2 linked regions of the Alligator mississippiensis genome follow. Each later gene encodes a partner of the first gene's protein in a complex. Links are inferred from orthologs where the notes say so. Each region holds a gene or a part of one and is shown in the gene's direction. Other genes may lie near its edges.

Region 1 (7,960 bases):
CATAAGTTCCTGAAAACAGTCTCGTTTCCACATCACAAATCTCATCAAGATACTACTGGCAGCTTACTTGCTGCTTCCAGAAGCTACAGCACTCACCCAACAGCTATGGCTGTGAAAAGGCTAACAAAGGACCCTGCCATCTTGGCAGCTGCCGAGTCTCCAGATTTCTTTTACAGTGAAGACAATAGCTTCCCTGCCTAAAACATGCACCTTAATTTTCAGGTGTGTGTGGGAGACGGGGCTGCACATGGTACATGAGAAAATATGGTAGCAATTGCCTCATCTTCATTAGGATTTTACCAATGAAAACAGGCCTGTACCCTGAGCAAAAACAGGGTCTTAGAGATCTCTCGACTGTAAACGTCCCAATGAAGAGGCACAGCTGTGTTGTAATCCTGTCTTGGCTGCATCGCCAGTACAGTCAAGATGGGTTCTTTATACTGACAGAGGACAATCTTTTTGGCAGGTGTGCCACAAATTATCCCCGTACCCTCCCCGAGTGCCACTCTGGTCCCCTTCCCGACCTGCTGCTCTGCTTTCTGTTCCCTACCCTGTGCTGCATGTTCCCTGCCTCATCTGCCACACTCCCTGCACACAGCCTAACAGTGGTATCCACACTGTAAGTTGCCCACCCTTGTTTTATACCATCCTCGTGGCTGAGCTGCCTGGCACCGAATGCACCGCCAACACCACGAGAACCGGCATGCAGGGATCATTTAATCCATCTCGAGACGCAGCCAAGGCCCGAGGCGACAGGCAGTAGCTGCTGGGTGGCAGACAGCTGAACTGAGCAGCGGAGCGGCGGGGATAGTCTCACACGTACAAGGGTCTGCAAGTGTTTTTGACGAGCAAGGAAATATTATAAGGAAACAATGTGCCCCCGATACACCCCCCCCCCCTTCCAATGCAACTGCAAGAGCCATTTTCGCCTTGTGGCTGGAGGAGAGCCAGGAGGCCAGGCACAAGGATCTCTCCTCAACAAAATGAACAGCAAGATCTTTAATAGCAAGGATCAGCCAGGATCACAGCAGAGCCGGCAGAGGGGGATGGGGCCGTGTCCAGGATCACTGGGCCCTTTTGGGCTGGGAGGAAGGAGGGGAATGTCTTTAAAGAACAACCAAAGCAGGCAGCAGACATTTGCCTCGCTGAGGGTCCCCACCACAAGAAAGCCTCTCCAATCCCCCACGCGCAGTCAGACGTCAGGCCGCTTGTCCTCCTCTTATTTTGAAAGGGAGGCAGAGCCACAGGACATGCACCAGCAGCACTGTAGCCACCCCAAATGGGTGATGAGGAACATGGTCACCCCGCTATCCCCCACCACACACACACAAATATATGGGGCTGGCTTCCAGCCAACATAACTTCCAAGATCCCCACTCCTCATTAACTGTTTCCTATGTCTATCACTGCAGAACCCATTGGCCACGTGTGGATTGGTGTAGCCTGGGAAGTGGACAGGCCAGAACATGGCTTGTGGCAAGGGTTGCCCTGCCCTGCAGAGATCCCCTGGTGGTGTGTGGCAGGGAGAGGACCGGGGGAGAAGGATGACATACTAATATAACCCGCTGTTGTCCATTCTGGGTGGATCACAGCATTGGTTCCTGACTCAGGATCTCTGGCAGCTCTGCAGCAGCCCACTGAGATCTGACAGTGTGGGGGAGGCAGCCAGGTCCCATCACCATCAATAAACCCTGATGGAAGTCAGGCACTGGCTTCAAGAGATGGTGGATCCATACATCTGCATCTTCTCCAAGGAGAGACTGATACTCTGCTTAGATAACCCCCGGTGTAAAAAAATCTCCTCCAGGTTTTACAAATCAACTGCCAGACTCCCTCGCTCCGTTCAGCTGGCATTACCCTCATCTGATAACGCCTGCCAGAGTGCTGTCAAGAAAAGCTCCCAGCTTTGCAGAGAGGAAATTAGCACAGAGAGGGGAAGTGACTTGCCTGACGTCAGAGATAAGTCAGGGGCCGAGCTGGGATGAGAAGCCAGGAGTCCTGGTTCTCAGCTGTAATCGCTGGTTCACACTACCTCCAGACAGACACGCCTGGCAGAGACCTGGGCCAATGCAGATTTGAAAGGAGGCCCTAATCAAGGGCACTGAAAACAGCAGCCCCCCCTTACCCACACACCCCAGCTGAACCCAGCAACTGTCACGGTTGAACAATGGGGAAACTGAGGCACATAGAAAGAGTGCTTTGCCCAAGGTCAGAGAGGGGATCAGCTTTAGAGCAGTGATCCGAACGCAGGCATTGTCCTCACCTAGTCTGACGCTCCTGGCTGAGCCTTGGCCAGAGATCACGAACACACAGGCTCCAGAAGAAGTGGTTCCAGAGTCTGGTCCCAATCGTGCTTCCAAATGACGCTGGCTACTGAGAGCAGGAAGGAGCCATATTCTCCCACCACTCAAACAGCCTGGAAGAAAAGAGCCATCCCCTAACTCAAGCCATTTCCTACCAGGGATCAAGGGCAGAGAAAGGTGTTGCCACCCTGTGCAGGAAAGAAAAAGCAGCAAGATTGATGGGTTTGGCTTGGTTGGTTCCAGCCCTGAAGAAAGTATTTATAAAGCCTGGGAAATATTTGCCACTTCTGAAGCACCCGCAAAGATAGGATTATGCTTAGCGCTGCTGAAATGCAGCCACCTCTGGGGTGGAGTGCAGCACGTCAAGAACACAGCTCATCACCCAGTGACAGCAGCGAAAGTGAATTCAAAGCCAAGGCTGTGACGTTGCTCTGGGTTTTAAGAAAAGTTTTAAGAAAAACCAAGCAAGGCAGGCAAACCACTCTCTTTTGCAAAGGCAGCCAAGCAAAGCCCTGCCTGGGCCTTCAAGAAGGGATTTCAGTCCCCGAGTGAGGAGACTGAAAACAGGCACTGGAGTCCCAGCAAGAGAGGAAAGACATGATGCAAAGACGCTGGAAAGAGCACGTTGCCCAGCCCCACTGTTATGTGCCGCTCAGACAGCCGGGCCCAGAGGCTGCAAACAAAACGTGCTTTGGCCATCAGGAAATCCTGAGTCCCGGCTACGGAAGGGAACGGGCTGCGAACGATTCAGGGCAGCGTTTCTCTCTAACAAAGGAGAGCTGGAAGAGCGTGGGGGGCCTATCCAAGTTGGCAGAGGCAAAACGACGGGGAATTCAGGAGCAGGGAGCGAAGAGACCATGCCAGAAGGCTGGGCTCTTAGCTGCAAGGACAGCGGGCCAGGATGCTGAGATGTAGCACCTTGGGCTTCTCCTGGACAAGGACGAGCCGTGCCGGGGCTGCAGGAACACTGATACCTGAGCATACATCAGGCAGGGGCAGGGCAGTCATGTCATGCCAGGCTGCTACACTGCGTGAAATCAGGCACCTTGCCACCTCCATCCCTGGCAAGGAGAGGACCAGCAGCAGCACAGGACCTGCTCTGCTCCTCCATGGGCCAGGGGGACGCCCTGGATCTGCCCAGCTCATGCCACCCCCTACCCACAACTTCCTCAGAGCCAGAGAGCACGGAGGGACCTCAAGATCCAGGGGGCTGTGATCTTGCCCCAGCTGCCGAGGATCTCCTGGCCACGCTCCCGCTCAGCAATGAGGCAAGGGGTCTCTCGCTTTCAGACCTGGGGAAACTGAGGCATGAAGGGGAGGGGACCATCCCCACAGGACACAGAAGAAGCGGCACCTGATCTGGTTCAGGCTCCTTCGGCTGCCCCCCCCACGCCCGACGACACCTCGGGTGACAGGACAAGCAAAACAAGGATGCCCGGAGACGCTCGACTGCAAACAAACCTGCCTGCTACCTTGGGCATGTGGCCGAGCGGAGCCTGCAGCCCCCCTGCCCGGCACTGGGGGAGATGCCAAGGAGGCAGCCGGGGCTGGGGCTCTGCCAGGCGACCCCCTCGCTCCCCGGGGCAGGGAGACGCACCCTCCCTCACGCTCTGCCCCCAACAAGGCTTTTGAGGCAGCCGGGGGGACTTCTCCGCTCCCCCCACCCGGGGAAGGTCCCTCTGAGGAGTGGGGCTTTCCCCCACTGTCAAGGGGGCTGGGGGGGTCCAACCCCCCCCATGGGGAGGTCCCATGGGCCAATGGGATGCGCCGTCACTTCCGGGGGGAGGGGCTACCCCTGGGGGGGGGCTGATCCCCTGCATTGCCCCTCCTCCCCCCGAGGGGGCATTTCCCCTCCAGGAGGTGCTTGGGGGGGTTAGACCCCCTCAGGGGCAATGCTGGGGTTCACCCCCCCCGGGGAGGGTAGCTGGGGTCACCTTCTCACCCACTGGGGGAAGGGATCACCCCCCCCAGCCCCAAATCGAGGGGGGGGCAAGTGGGGTGAAGCCCCCACTCGGGAGGAAGGGCAACAACCCCTCCCCAACTGGGGGCTTCTGTATTTGCCCCTCCCCCAATGAGGGGGCTCCGGCTCCAGTCCCCTGAGGGGGTCGCCCCTCCCCCCCGGAGGGGGGCGCTGAGGTTTGACCCTCCCTCCGCCCCTTACAGCGGGGGGGGCGGGATGCAGCCCCCCAACCCGGAAGCCCGCGTCCCTCTTACCGGCAGCTTGGGGTTGACCTCCCCCTTGCAGCTGTGGCAGAAGAAGCGATGCTGGGACACGGCGGCCGCCGCCGCTGCCGAGGCCTCCGCCATTTTCTCTCCCCCTCCCCCGGCTCCCTGCCTGCCGTCAGTCCTCCGGGAGGAGCAGCGAGACTACGGGCGGGCCGGATAGAACGGCGGCGGGGCCGCTCTAGCCCGCAGCTTACTCCCCAGTCTCTTCTGCTCCGCTGCGGGAAAACGGAGCCTTCCGCTTGAGCAGCGAGGCGGGAGGGTAGAGCGGTTCCTCGCTACTTCCGCGTTCCAGTCCTCCCAGCAGCCACAGAGACGAGGGGAAAGCCAGAGCGCCACCCGAGAGTCCTCAATGCGCTGGGCGACGTTAGACGCAACGGGAGAGGGAGAGAGCGCCCCCTGGGGTCCTCCAGCGCCACCAACGAGAGGTAGCTAGAGCGGCCACACCAAAGAAGCGAGCGGAAGTGATCCTTGTTGAACTGGAAGCTGAAAGCCACGGGGTTGCTATGGTTGCTGTCGGGGCCTAAAAAAATTCGACCCCCTCCCCTCCCCTCCCCCAGGTGAGATGCAACCCAGGCGTCGGGACACCCCCTCCCCCCCCCGGGCCTCAGCTCATCGTCTTCAGCCTCAGTTTCCCTTGGAGGGGGAGGGGCCCGTCTCTAGCCTCAGTTTCCCGAGTGGGAGTGGGAGTGGGGGTGGGGGGAGGGGCGGTTTGATACAGCTGCAGATGTGAACCCATCAAATCCATTTCTGGCACAAAGCGTGAGCCGCCTCGAGTCCGGACTGGACACCGCAAGAGAAACCGGCATCTCCGCATCCGCCCGGCAGCGCCGACCCGTTGCATCCCTCGTGACGAAACCGCGGACGTTCGGACCCGACTCGACGCAGGTGTGCGGTTTGCCGGCGGGATGACGCAGGCGGAAATTAAGCTCTGTTCTCTGCTGCTGCAAGAACATTTTGGAGAGATCGTGGAGAAGATAGGCACGTACCTCGTGCGGACCGGCGGGCAGCCTCTGCGAGCGATTGTCAGCGACACCGGCACCTCCCTGGACCAGGTACGTCCCGGGCTGCGCCAGCTGGCGAGTCGGCGTCCGCACGCTCAGGGGAGCCGGCTGTGCTCGGGCGATCTCCGTACAGCTCGTCAGTTCCCGTCTCCGGAAGGTTTCCCCACTTCTAAAATCTACGTGCGAGACACAAATTGGCGTAAAGGAGGTGCTGACTTGAAAGCAGATTTTTTTTTAAAATTGGGATAGATGGTTTCATCGGGCTCCTGCTGCGGTCCAGGGGCGTCTTTGCCACCAGTGTTAACGAGCGGATCCCAGACGTTACCTCCCTGCCGCCGGGCGAGTGGGGGGTGCCGTTGAGATCTAGCTGGGAAAGGAAGGAGCGAAGCTGGAGCAGGGGATGGAGGTTAAGGGTGTGAAAGACTGAGCTGTTTAACAATTAACGGTGAATCAGAACGCAGCGCCCTGCCCCGGACCTCGCACGTTGCCTCAGCTCTGGTAGCCTGAGATGCCCTGGGAATTCGCAGCATCGGGTGAATTCACTTCCGTGGTGAAAGCTTAATAGCTTTATCCCAAGCTGATAAGAGCTCATGAACACAGCACAGATACTGCATCGTTCGAGTTGCCAGCCAGCCCCCCCCAACCCTAACCCTAACCCCTCCCCCCTTCACACACCCCTCCTCTTAGTCCATCGATGGTGCTGTGCGTTCCCAAGTCCGTGACTTGTCCCTTTCCGGCTCCCACAGGTGAAGAAAGCCTTGTGCGTCCTCATCCAGCACAACCTGGGCACCTACCAGATACAGAAGCGTGGCTTCGTGGAGTACAGCGTCCAGTGCAGCCGAGTGCTGTGCATCCTGCGCTACCCGCGCTACATCTACACGGCCAAGACCCTGTACGGCGACACGGGCGAGCTCATTGTGGAGGAGCTGCTTCTCAATGGCAAGATGCCCATGAGCGCCGTGGTCACGAAGGTGGCTGACAGGCTGACAGAGACCATGGAGGGTGAGTGATGGGGGTGTTGGCATGGCTGAGAGACGGGATGGGGACTGCTCCCTGGGGCACCTCATCTGGCTGGTGCTCCCTGGATATATCTCGCCACTGGTGGGATTGGATCAAGCTCAGGGGAATAAGAGGATTCAGCACCAGGGTGGGGGATGTTGAATCCAGACCATAGGGAAGTGATGGATGGACATCTGCTGGGTGGCATCAGTGGGTTTTGTGTCTTGGAAGGGCTGTGTAGAAAACCAGTGCGCCAGTGATTCCCCAGGAGAGAGCTTGGGCTGCCAGCTCCAGGGATGGGGGAGCAGCAAAAGATAAACAGCAAGTCAGTGCTCATGCCAGAGACAGAGCTGGTTTGCGGGCATATGCTCCCACCAGACATGATGGTATAACACGTGCCAATGTGAACTTGTCCCTGTGTCAGGAAACCAGGTTCAAGGCTGCCGAGTTGGCTTCTTCGCTGCCGCAGACTCGCTGGAGGACTTGATCAAGTCGAAAAAGACTTGATCAAGATCTTCTCCAGGTCTCAGTTTGCCTATATGAGTTCTGAGGTGAAGGAGGAGCATTTCCTGCCTAGCTTGTGTCTTAAAGATGAGTTTCTCAGCTGTGGGCTGAGATGGGAAACCCACTCTGGTTGTGCTTGGATTTTCCCTCACCTCTGCGCCGGTTTCTCTGATAGATGCATGTCTAAGTAGCTGGCCTTATCAGTATCTAATCTGCCAGGAGTGGGGTATCTGAGCTGGAAACAGGAGACTAAACACTTCTAAACATGACCTTGAAACTTCAGGTGCCCAGTGTATGACACAAGCCTGTTCAGCATCCCTGAAAAATCAGGTCACCTCAAGTAACCCCCTAAAAAACCAGAGGCTTCCAAAACCGCCATCTGCCTCTGAAAACCCAGCCCATGGCCTCTGAGGCTGGTAGGAGCAAGGGCAGGGCATGGGGTTGTAACCCAGCTGGCACAGTGCTAGCAGCTGGGCAGTCAGGATCACGAACATTCACCTTCTCCTTGGGATCCTCCTGTCCAGATGGGAAAACCATGGACTACACTGAAGTCTCCAACACCTTTGTCCGCCTGGCAGACACCCACTTTGTGCAGAGGTGCCCAGGGGTCCCCGATGCTTCTGGGCCATCAGATTCGGCAGCACCTCCTGCGCCTACGCTGGTCATTGACGAGAAGGACATGTACAGCGTCCCCAGACTGAACCTCATAGGTGAGGAATGAGCTGAGCCACCCTGATCAGGGGCACGGTGGGAGCAGGAGGCATGATGAGAGTTTGGACAGGAATCCACGTTCAGCGTGATGGAGTCAGAGGGGAACCTCTGTCTTTGGCCTACAGGGAAGGGGAAGAGGAGGCGATCGTGTGACGATGATGATAACGGCGAACACAAGGCGAAGAAACAGAAGCAGGATCTCGAGAGCCAAGAGGT
Region 2 (7,125 bases), on another chromosome or scaffold:
CTGAATTCCTGGTTTGTGCAGTTTGTCTTTTCACGGTCGTGGTGCTCATCTCAAATTGCAGTGACCAAGCAGCTGGACGTTCAGCCTGTCTCAAATGAATCTTGCACAGGCTTTTCCTAAGCCCCTGAAAATACTTTACTTTACCAGCTAGTCATCAGCAGGCAATTCTTTCAGTTTGATCAAACACCAGCAAAACTATAAAACAGAAAAAATCTCAAAATTTGAGAGTCAAAAAGAAAATAGAATGGTGACTGCTATATGCAGCCCTTACTGCAGAAGAAGAGGGTAGTGCTGAAGTTTAGATTGTCCACAGCACACCTTGCCTTTCTTTGAGAGCTTACCAGCTAACATGCTGTATACCTCCTTCCCGCTCCTGTTTCAGCTGCACATACCGCTGGATGGCTTTCTTCAGGTCCTGGACACTGGCATTCTGTACCACTACTACAGCTGAAGGGGAGAAGACTTGCAATTAATAACACCAGGAGATATGCTCTGAAAGGAGGCAGAGCTCCAGGCCCTACCCTTACCTGCTAGAAGCTGCACTTTATAATAGGAGCTATTTTATGCCACAACCACTCCAGAACCCAGCCTGAAGATGGAACTTAGAGGGCACCAACCCAACTGAATAGCTGAGGAATGAACATGGCTAAGTCTTCCTGTCTGGGTCAGTCTTCACAAAGGAGGTTGCTTTATAGCAGGGGTGGGCAAAATATGGCCTGTGGACACTATCTGGCCCGCAGGGCCCCTAAAAAAAATGTAGAAAATTAAAATGCATTTGTCCTTGGTTCCCATCAAAAATGACAGGAACAAGGGGTAGTAGGACCCAGGGGAATCCTCAGCAGGATCCTGCAACAGCAGGGCCCCTCCGGCCCCGGCCCCCCAGCTGGAAGCCCCAACAGGGGAGGAAGCTCAGGTAAAGGTGGGGAGGGAGGGTGGCAGGGAAGGAGCTGGTGCAGAACGCAGGGAAAAGCGGCCCCTCCCCCACCCCATGGCCAGCCCTCACTACTGCAGCCACTCACAGCATGCATGGGGCTGTCCTGAGCAGGCACAGAGCCCCACACGGGGCTGGCAGTGGGGGCGGGTTACAAGCTGGTCCAGAGCATGGGAAAAGCGGCCCCTCGCCCACCCCCTGCACTGCAGCTGCTCGCCACCCGCCTGGGGCTGCCTGTGCCTGCTCAGGACAGCCCTGCGCGATGTGTGAATGGCTGCAGCAGGGAGTGTGGACCATGGGGCAGACAAGGGGTGGCTCTATCCTGCGCTCCGCACCAGCTCCTTCCTTGCTGGTGAGCAGGGGTTCAGGGCTGTGCGCTCCCCCAAGCCTGTACCATGGGGCTGGGGGGGGGGGGGGGGGGGCACTGGAAATGAGTGGGCGCAGGAACACAGGGCTCGCACCGGTGTCCCAGCAAGGCCCAGAGCAGGGGTATAGGGTTCCAGCTGGCAGAGGCTCTATGGAGCCGGGCCAGCTCCCCCCTCTTCCTGCTGGTGCAGCCCAGCTCCACAGACCCCTGCCAGCCTGCACCCTGTTCTGGGCCCCACCGGTGCTGGCCCTGGGACATCAATCCCAAGACATTGGGACACTGTTCCCAAGATGGTGGCCAGGGGGCAGGGCACCTGTCAAAGGACGGGGCTACCCATGCAGCCCTCGACAGCTTGCCAAAACTGGGTAAGCGGCCCTCCGCCTGAAATAATTGCCCACCTCTGCTTTACAGCCTTTAAGCTCCAACCTCGTACGTTTGATAGAGGCAGGTTTGAGGTGACGGACCAAATGAGAAATCATTACAGAACACTGTCAGTAAGCTGTATTTCTGCCTGCCACCAAGGTAGGGTATTAATCAGGTACTTCACCCAATTACACACCTACTCCTCTGGCTCCTAAGTACTTCAGGGTGCTGGGCTGAGGTTCGTGAAATTGTGCCCCAGCCATCTCAGTCCACTCAATGCACCAAACTGCAACTGCCCACCTTGGATCACATATGTAATTTCTTCTCCACTTGCTAGAAGATGTCACCATATTGTGACAACAAGGTAGGCATTAAGACCAATATCAAAAGACTAGCTTTGGGAACCAGAAATTAATCGCTATTCTCTATCAATAAGGACCTACCAAATTCATGGCATAAGTGGGGTACATGGCAGATCCTTCAATCTTTCATGCTTCCTCGTGTGCCCCTCCCCGCAGTTATTGATTGGCATAGGGAGCACACTGCTCCCTCCTAATTGGTAGGAAATGAAAACCATGGTTTTAATTATGGTGTGGTTTTTGCCTCCCCGCCAGCCAGCAACAAGCATCAGGGCCACTGGGGCCCCTCAGCCAGTCAGCGGCAGGAGGCAAAAATGGTGCCAACTAGGGGTGCACTGATAAAAATTTTTTGGGCCGATACTGATGGCCAATTAGCAACAAGCCACATTGGCTGACACTGATCCAATTGCCAATATACAGCCCAACAGCTCAGAGAGCAGCATCAGGCTGGTAAGTCTGTTGTGGGGAAGGGGCACGGGGGGGGGAGGCAAAACAAGGCCCCCATGGTGAGGGATGGAGTGTGATTGGGGCAAGGACAGGGGCAGACACTGCGTGCACTCCTGGAGGAGGCATAGCGGGGCACGTGCCTCCTGGACGTGTGCACAGTGTGGCACCAGACTCTTTCCAGTGGTGAGGGCCAGGCTGAGGTTACAGGGGGCTATGGCAAATTTTGGGATGGCTGTAGCTCCCCCCTCCCAGCACCACCCATCCTGAGAGCAGCCCAAGCCCAAGCCCCACCCATCAGGCAGAGCCTGACACTGCTCCTGGCCCAAGTGCACAGCAGCAGCTTGCCTTTGCTCTGTGCACAGATCTAGGAGGCATCCCTCCCTTGGGGGTGCATGCAACAGCGGAATGTGACTCCCCGTACACCATCCAGACAAGCCGCTTATGGCGGTCTTGTGCCCTGTCCTGGCTGTGCAGCACCTGCCCCAGCCCCACTCCCTTCTTCACTGTGGGGGCCTTGATCTACCCCCAACCCATTCCCCCCCCCCCCCCCCCCTCGACTTACCAGCTGGATGCTGCTCTCCATGCTGATAGGCTGCGCTCTTGGCCACCTGTGTGCTGTCCTGTGCTGCGCTGCAGCTGTGTGCATGCACGCAGCATGTATTGGCAACATTACTGCTCACAGCAGCCAAAAAAGCCGATTGCCAATAATGTCAGTTTTACGTTTATTGGTGCAGATATGATATGTACCAATATATCACTGCACCTCTATTTAAAACTGCAGTTTTTTCCTAACCACCAACCAGGAGCAAGCTGCAAGTGTGGCCCCTGCACTAATCGGGGGGGGGGGGAACCTGCAAGATTAAGGAGCAGCAGTGCACCCCACTTGTGCAGTGAATTTAGTAGGTCCCTATCTATGGATCTGACCCCAGGTCTGCTTGGCTTTACTACTAGGGTACTACTAGGGCTTTACTGCCTGTCCTGATGCCAAGGGCTTACCAACTAATATACATTTCAGTTAAAGCATCTCCTTCCACTCCATGTCTGTGCGGTCCTCCACTGTTTTCGACAGATGCTGCAGAGCACTCAGACATGCTGGAACTCGTAGGGAACAGGACTGAACATTATCACTGTGCAGGCTCTTCAAGAGCAAGCATATTTAAAGGACTACATGACATAAGACTGCTCCACAGCAGCAGGAGCAAGAAGACAAATGCTGCCCCTGCACAATGCCCACAGGTTAGCATCCCCGTCTCAACACCACGTGTCCCTATGTGCGCGGTGCTCACCCATCCCCACAAAGCCAGCACAGCCAACGTGAGGCCGGGCAGCCGCCAAACAACCCCAGCAAGGGCAGCGCCAAAAGCACTTACGCATCACTTCCTCGTCGGCTTTGCACACGCGCACCGTCATGGCCTGGCCGTACTCCAGCGCGATTTGGGAGTTGATTTCCTCCGGGGTGACCTGTCCGGGGCAGAACAGCGGCCGCGCCCATGAGTCCCGCCCCGGCCGCCCAGCAGCTCCCTCGCTCCGGGCACTCTCGTCGCTTCCCTGCAGCGGTGGGCCGCGCCCCGCACCCGGCCCCTCTGAGCCGCTAGGAAAGGCCGCGACGCCGGGCGCCCTCGCAGCGCGGGGGACGCGGCGCTCTGGACCCACCTGCACAGGGAGGTCGCACAGCAGCGGGTCCTGCACGAGCCTGACCAGCCCCTCCTGGAAGAGCTCCAGCACCTCTGCGTGCGCCAGCTCCTCCTCCTCCTCCTCGGCCTCAGCCTCCGCGCCGCTTCCGTCCGCCGCCGCCATGGCCCGGCCCGCGCGGCGGCTCGTGGCAGCCGAACCTGATCCGCCGGAAGTGGCGGGGCGGGGCGGGGTTCTGGCTGCTTGGCGCAGAGATGCTGCTTTTCTGCCCGGCCTGCGGCAACGTGCTGGTGGCTGAGGAGGGGCCGCGCTGCCACCGATTCGCTTGCACCACGTGTCCCTATGTGCGCAACGTTACGCGCAAGGTAGCGCCCTTCCCCCCCCCAGCGCTGGGTGCGCGCTCGCGTTGCCCGGAGCCGGCGGCGGGGCTCGCGGCGTTGGCCGACACCGTGTAGCAGCCGCCGGCGCTGCGGCCGCTCTTGGCTGCGCCAGGGTGCGGGGGGGGAGTCGATGAGACGCGTGCGGGGGGCCGAGCACGGGGCTGCAGGCGAGTGAGTTTTCCGGGCGCCTCCAGGTGACCAGCAGGAAATACCCGAAGCTAAAGGAGGTGGACGACGTCCTGGGAGGCGCCGCTGCTTGGGAAAACGTGGATTCCACAGCAGGTGAGAGCCGGTGCCGGCCTGGCCTCGTCGGTCCTGCTGCTCATCGCCCCCGCACGAAAGGTGCTGCTGGTGCTTCCTGTCCAGCGGCGCCTTCGGCTTCAGCCCGCTGCCCCACACTGTTCTCGAGCCCAGTGCCTTGCATGCAGGCACGCTGAGCTATCTGCTCTGCAAGAGAAGCCACTGCCTTGAGTAGGTGGGAGGATTAGTCTGCACTGGGCTGCACTTAAGGAAGATGGATCCTGAAGTGATACAAGCTGTGCTTCTTCCACACAGGGACAGTGGGAACTCATGGTGCTGCGAGGGATGGTTCTTGGGCCACAATACTTGAAACAATTGAAGGGTCATGTTTATCCATTCTTCTCTTGCCCACTAAGCTCCACATGCATGCTACAGTGCTGTCTTTCTGGGTCACTAAGCAGTTTGAAATGATGATTCTGAGAAATGTGAACAGCTCCCTCTCTCTCTTGTCATCTTATGGTGTTATTCTAAAGCTTGACTGTGATAATTCACTTGATTTCCTATGGCTCCAAGCAGTAGTGGAGGGTTTTTATGGCCAGCATGTTAGCCACAAACCATGGATTGGCGACCACAGTTTGACAAAATGTCCTAGCTTTGATCATTTTAGTATGATAGTAGTAAGATGAAGAGGCCACAGAAGTGAAGCATGGCCCAGTTGAGAGTGGGACCTAGAAGTTCTTTCAGAAAAGGGAATTGGATTGAATAGAGAAATCTTACCGTTGCTTTTGCGAGTTAGGGAAAATGAATAAAGGGGAAAGAAAGACGAGAAAACAGAGCAGTAATTGTGTTTGGTAGTTGACAAATTAAATGCACGCTCCCTTTTAGAAGTGCTGAATACGACAGTCGTGTACAAAACAAATGTGATGTTTAGATGCAACATAAGATGTTATCTATCAAATATAGATAATTTTGTGTAAAGCCTGCAGCTAGAATCTGCTGTGGATTCAGAAGCAGAGTTTGAAGCCCTACACACATCTTGGCCTGTGAATTGACATAGAAAATGGAATTCATCTCCCTCTCCACCCTGTGTGCCTTATCTTTAATCTGACATGTCTGCCTCTCTCACCTCCTTACAAAAGAGAGAAGACCACCTGACTCCAAAATTGCACTGTGGCAGTATTGCTGGTCCTGGTTGGTTTCATGAAACTGCTGTAATTTCTGTGCTAGTCCTTCTCTACTCCTAGCTCTGAGTGGGACTTGCTTTCTGCTAATCTCTAGTCTGCAGGAGACATGCTGGCCTTTTGGTAGCCAGGGTTATTCAGATCTCCTGCAACTCTTAAGAAACTAGATGGTCCTCACTGATTTTGTTTAATCAGTTGATGTAATGGAGTGTGCTCAAGGACAGGAAATGTCCTGTGTTAGAGATCCTACCCCTAAAGTTCCATTAAGTTTTCTTGGAGCTTAAAGTTGGGCAGATGGAATGTTTACAAAAAAAATCCATCTCTTGGGTTAATGGTTTGTGGAAGGTTGAATTTAAGTAGAACCTACCTACACCCCTCTGTGACATAAGGAAGAATTGCTCTGCCAAGCTCACTTCACTTCTAATGTTTCTTTTTCAGAACCGTGTCCCAAGTGTGAACATCCACGTGCCTACTTCATGCAGATTCAGACCAGATCAGCTGATGAGCCTATGACCACATTTTATAAGTGTTGTAATGCTCAGTGTGGCCACAGGTGGAGGGATTAACTTTCCTATCATATGTGTTAGTTCTTGTTTGTTCAAAACAAAACAAAAAATCCAAAAAAGCATCTCCATCTGGTTTGTTGAATGTGAAATGCTAATTCTAATATAATAAAGGGCTTTGTCTGTCTGTAACACTTTTGGGCAAGTGTGTGCGTGCGGTTTTAAACTGGGCACATTTCTCTCTCCCAGGAGGGAGAAAAAAATGGTGCCAACTTTAAAATCACAGCTTTTGTAGCTGCTTCTCTGCAGCCATGTGGGGCCCCTCCCCCAGTGGAGCTGGGGAGGTAGACTGGGGCTGGGCTGGCCAGGAATGCAGTGCAGTGCAGGCAGGGGGACCAGAAGCGCTGTGCTGTGCAGCAAGGCAGGGAGCAGCGCTGGGGGGGGCCACAGCCCCCCAACATTCACCTTATCACCTGGACCTGCCCCTCCCAGCACTGCCACCTGAATGAGAGGTGGGGTGCAGTGTTGCCAGCCTGGCCCCTTGCACATGCATGGCTGCAGGGACACAGCCCAGCATCAGCTCCCTCCCGGTCAGTGGGTGGTGGGGGGGGGGCAAAGATGGCTGCCTCAGTGTGATGGGGAGGTCCTGGGAGGGGAAGCTGTGTCTGTGTGTGTGGACATGTCTGCGTCTGCACTTAAGTGCGTGTGTGTGCATCTCTGTG

What was found. Proteins that work in one complex are often made in the same cells at the same time.
Region 2: POLR3C (region 1) and POLR3K share a complex: the UniProt entries of both Homo sapiens proteins name them as parts of the RNA polymerase III complex. The link is inferred for Alligator mississippiensis from reciprocal best matches to the Homo sapiens genes POLR3C and POLR3K.

The regions. Positions count from the first base shown.
Region 1 is NC_081838.1:17,696,157-17,704,116, reverse strand, and holds the start of POLR3C (DNA-directed RNA polymerase III subunit RPC3), read left to right. Parts: upstream 1-4,862; 5' UTR 4,863-5,086; intron 5,087-5,287; 5' UTR 5,288-5,434; coding exon 5,435-5,581; intron 5,582-6,276; coding exon 6,277-6,532; intron 6,533-7,557; coding exon 7,558-7,743; intron 7,744-7,869; coding exon 7,870-7,958; intron 7,959-7,960. Other genes in the region: E3 ubiquitin-protein ligase RNF115, read right to left, coding at 4,518-4,610. UniProt on the Homo sapiens protein: DNA-dependent RNA polymerase catalyzes the transcription of DNA into RNA using the four ribonucleoside triphosphates as substrates.
Region 2 is NC_081836.1:21,216,966-21,224,090, reverse strand, and holds POLR3K (DNA-directed RNA polymerase III subunit RPC10), read left to right. Parts: upstream 1-4,296; 5' UTR 4,297-4,353; coding exon 4,354-4,464; intron 4,465-4,673; coding exon 4,674-4,761; intron 4,762-6,338; coding exon 6,339-6,466; 3' UTR 6,467-6,595; downstream 6,596-7,125. Other genes in the region: SNRNP25 (U11/U12 small nuclear ribonucleoprotein 25 kDa protein), read right to left, coding at 342-447, 3,838-3,928, 4,121-4,264. UniProt on the Homo sapiens protein: Core component of RNA polymerase III (Pol III) which synthesizes small non-coding RNAs using the four ribonucleoside triphosphates as substrates. Can mediate Pol I proofreading of the nascent RNA transcript.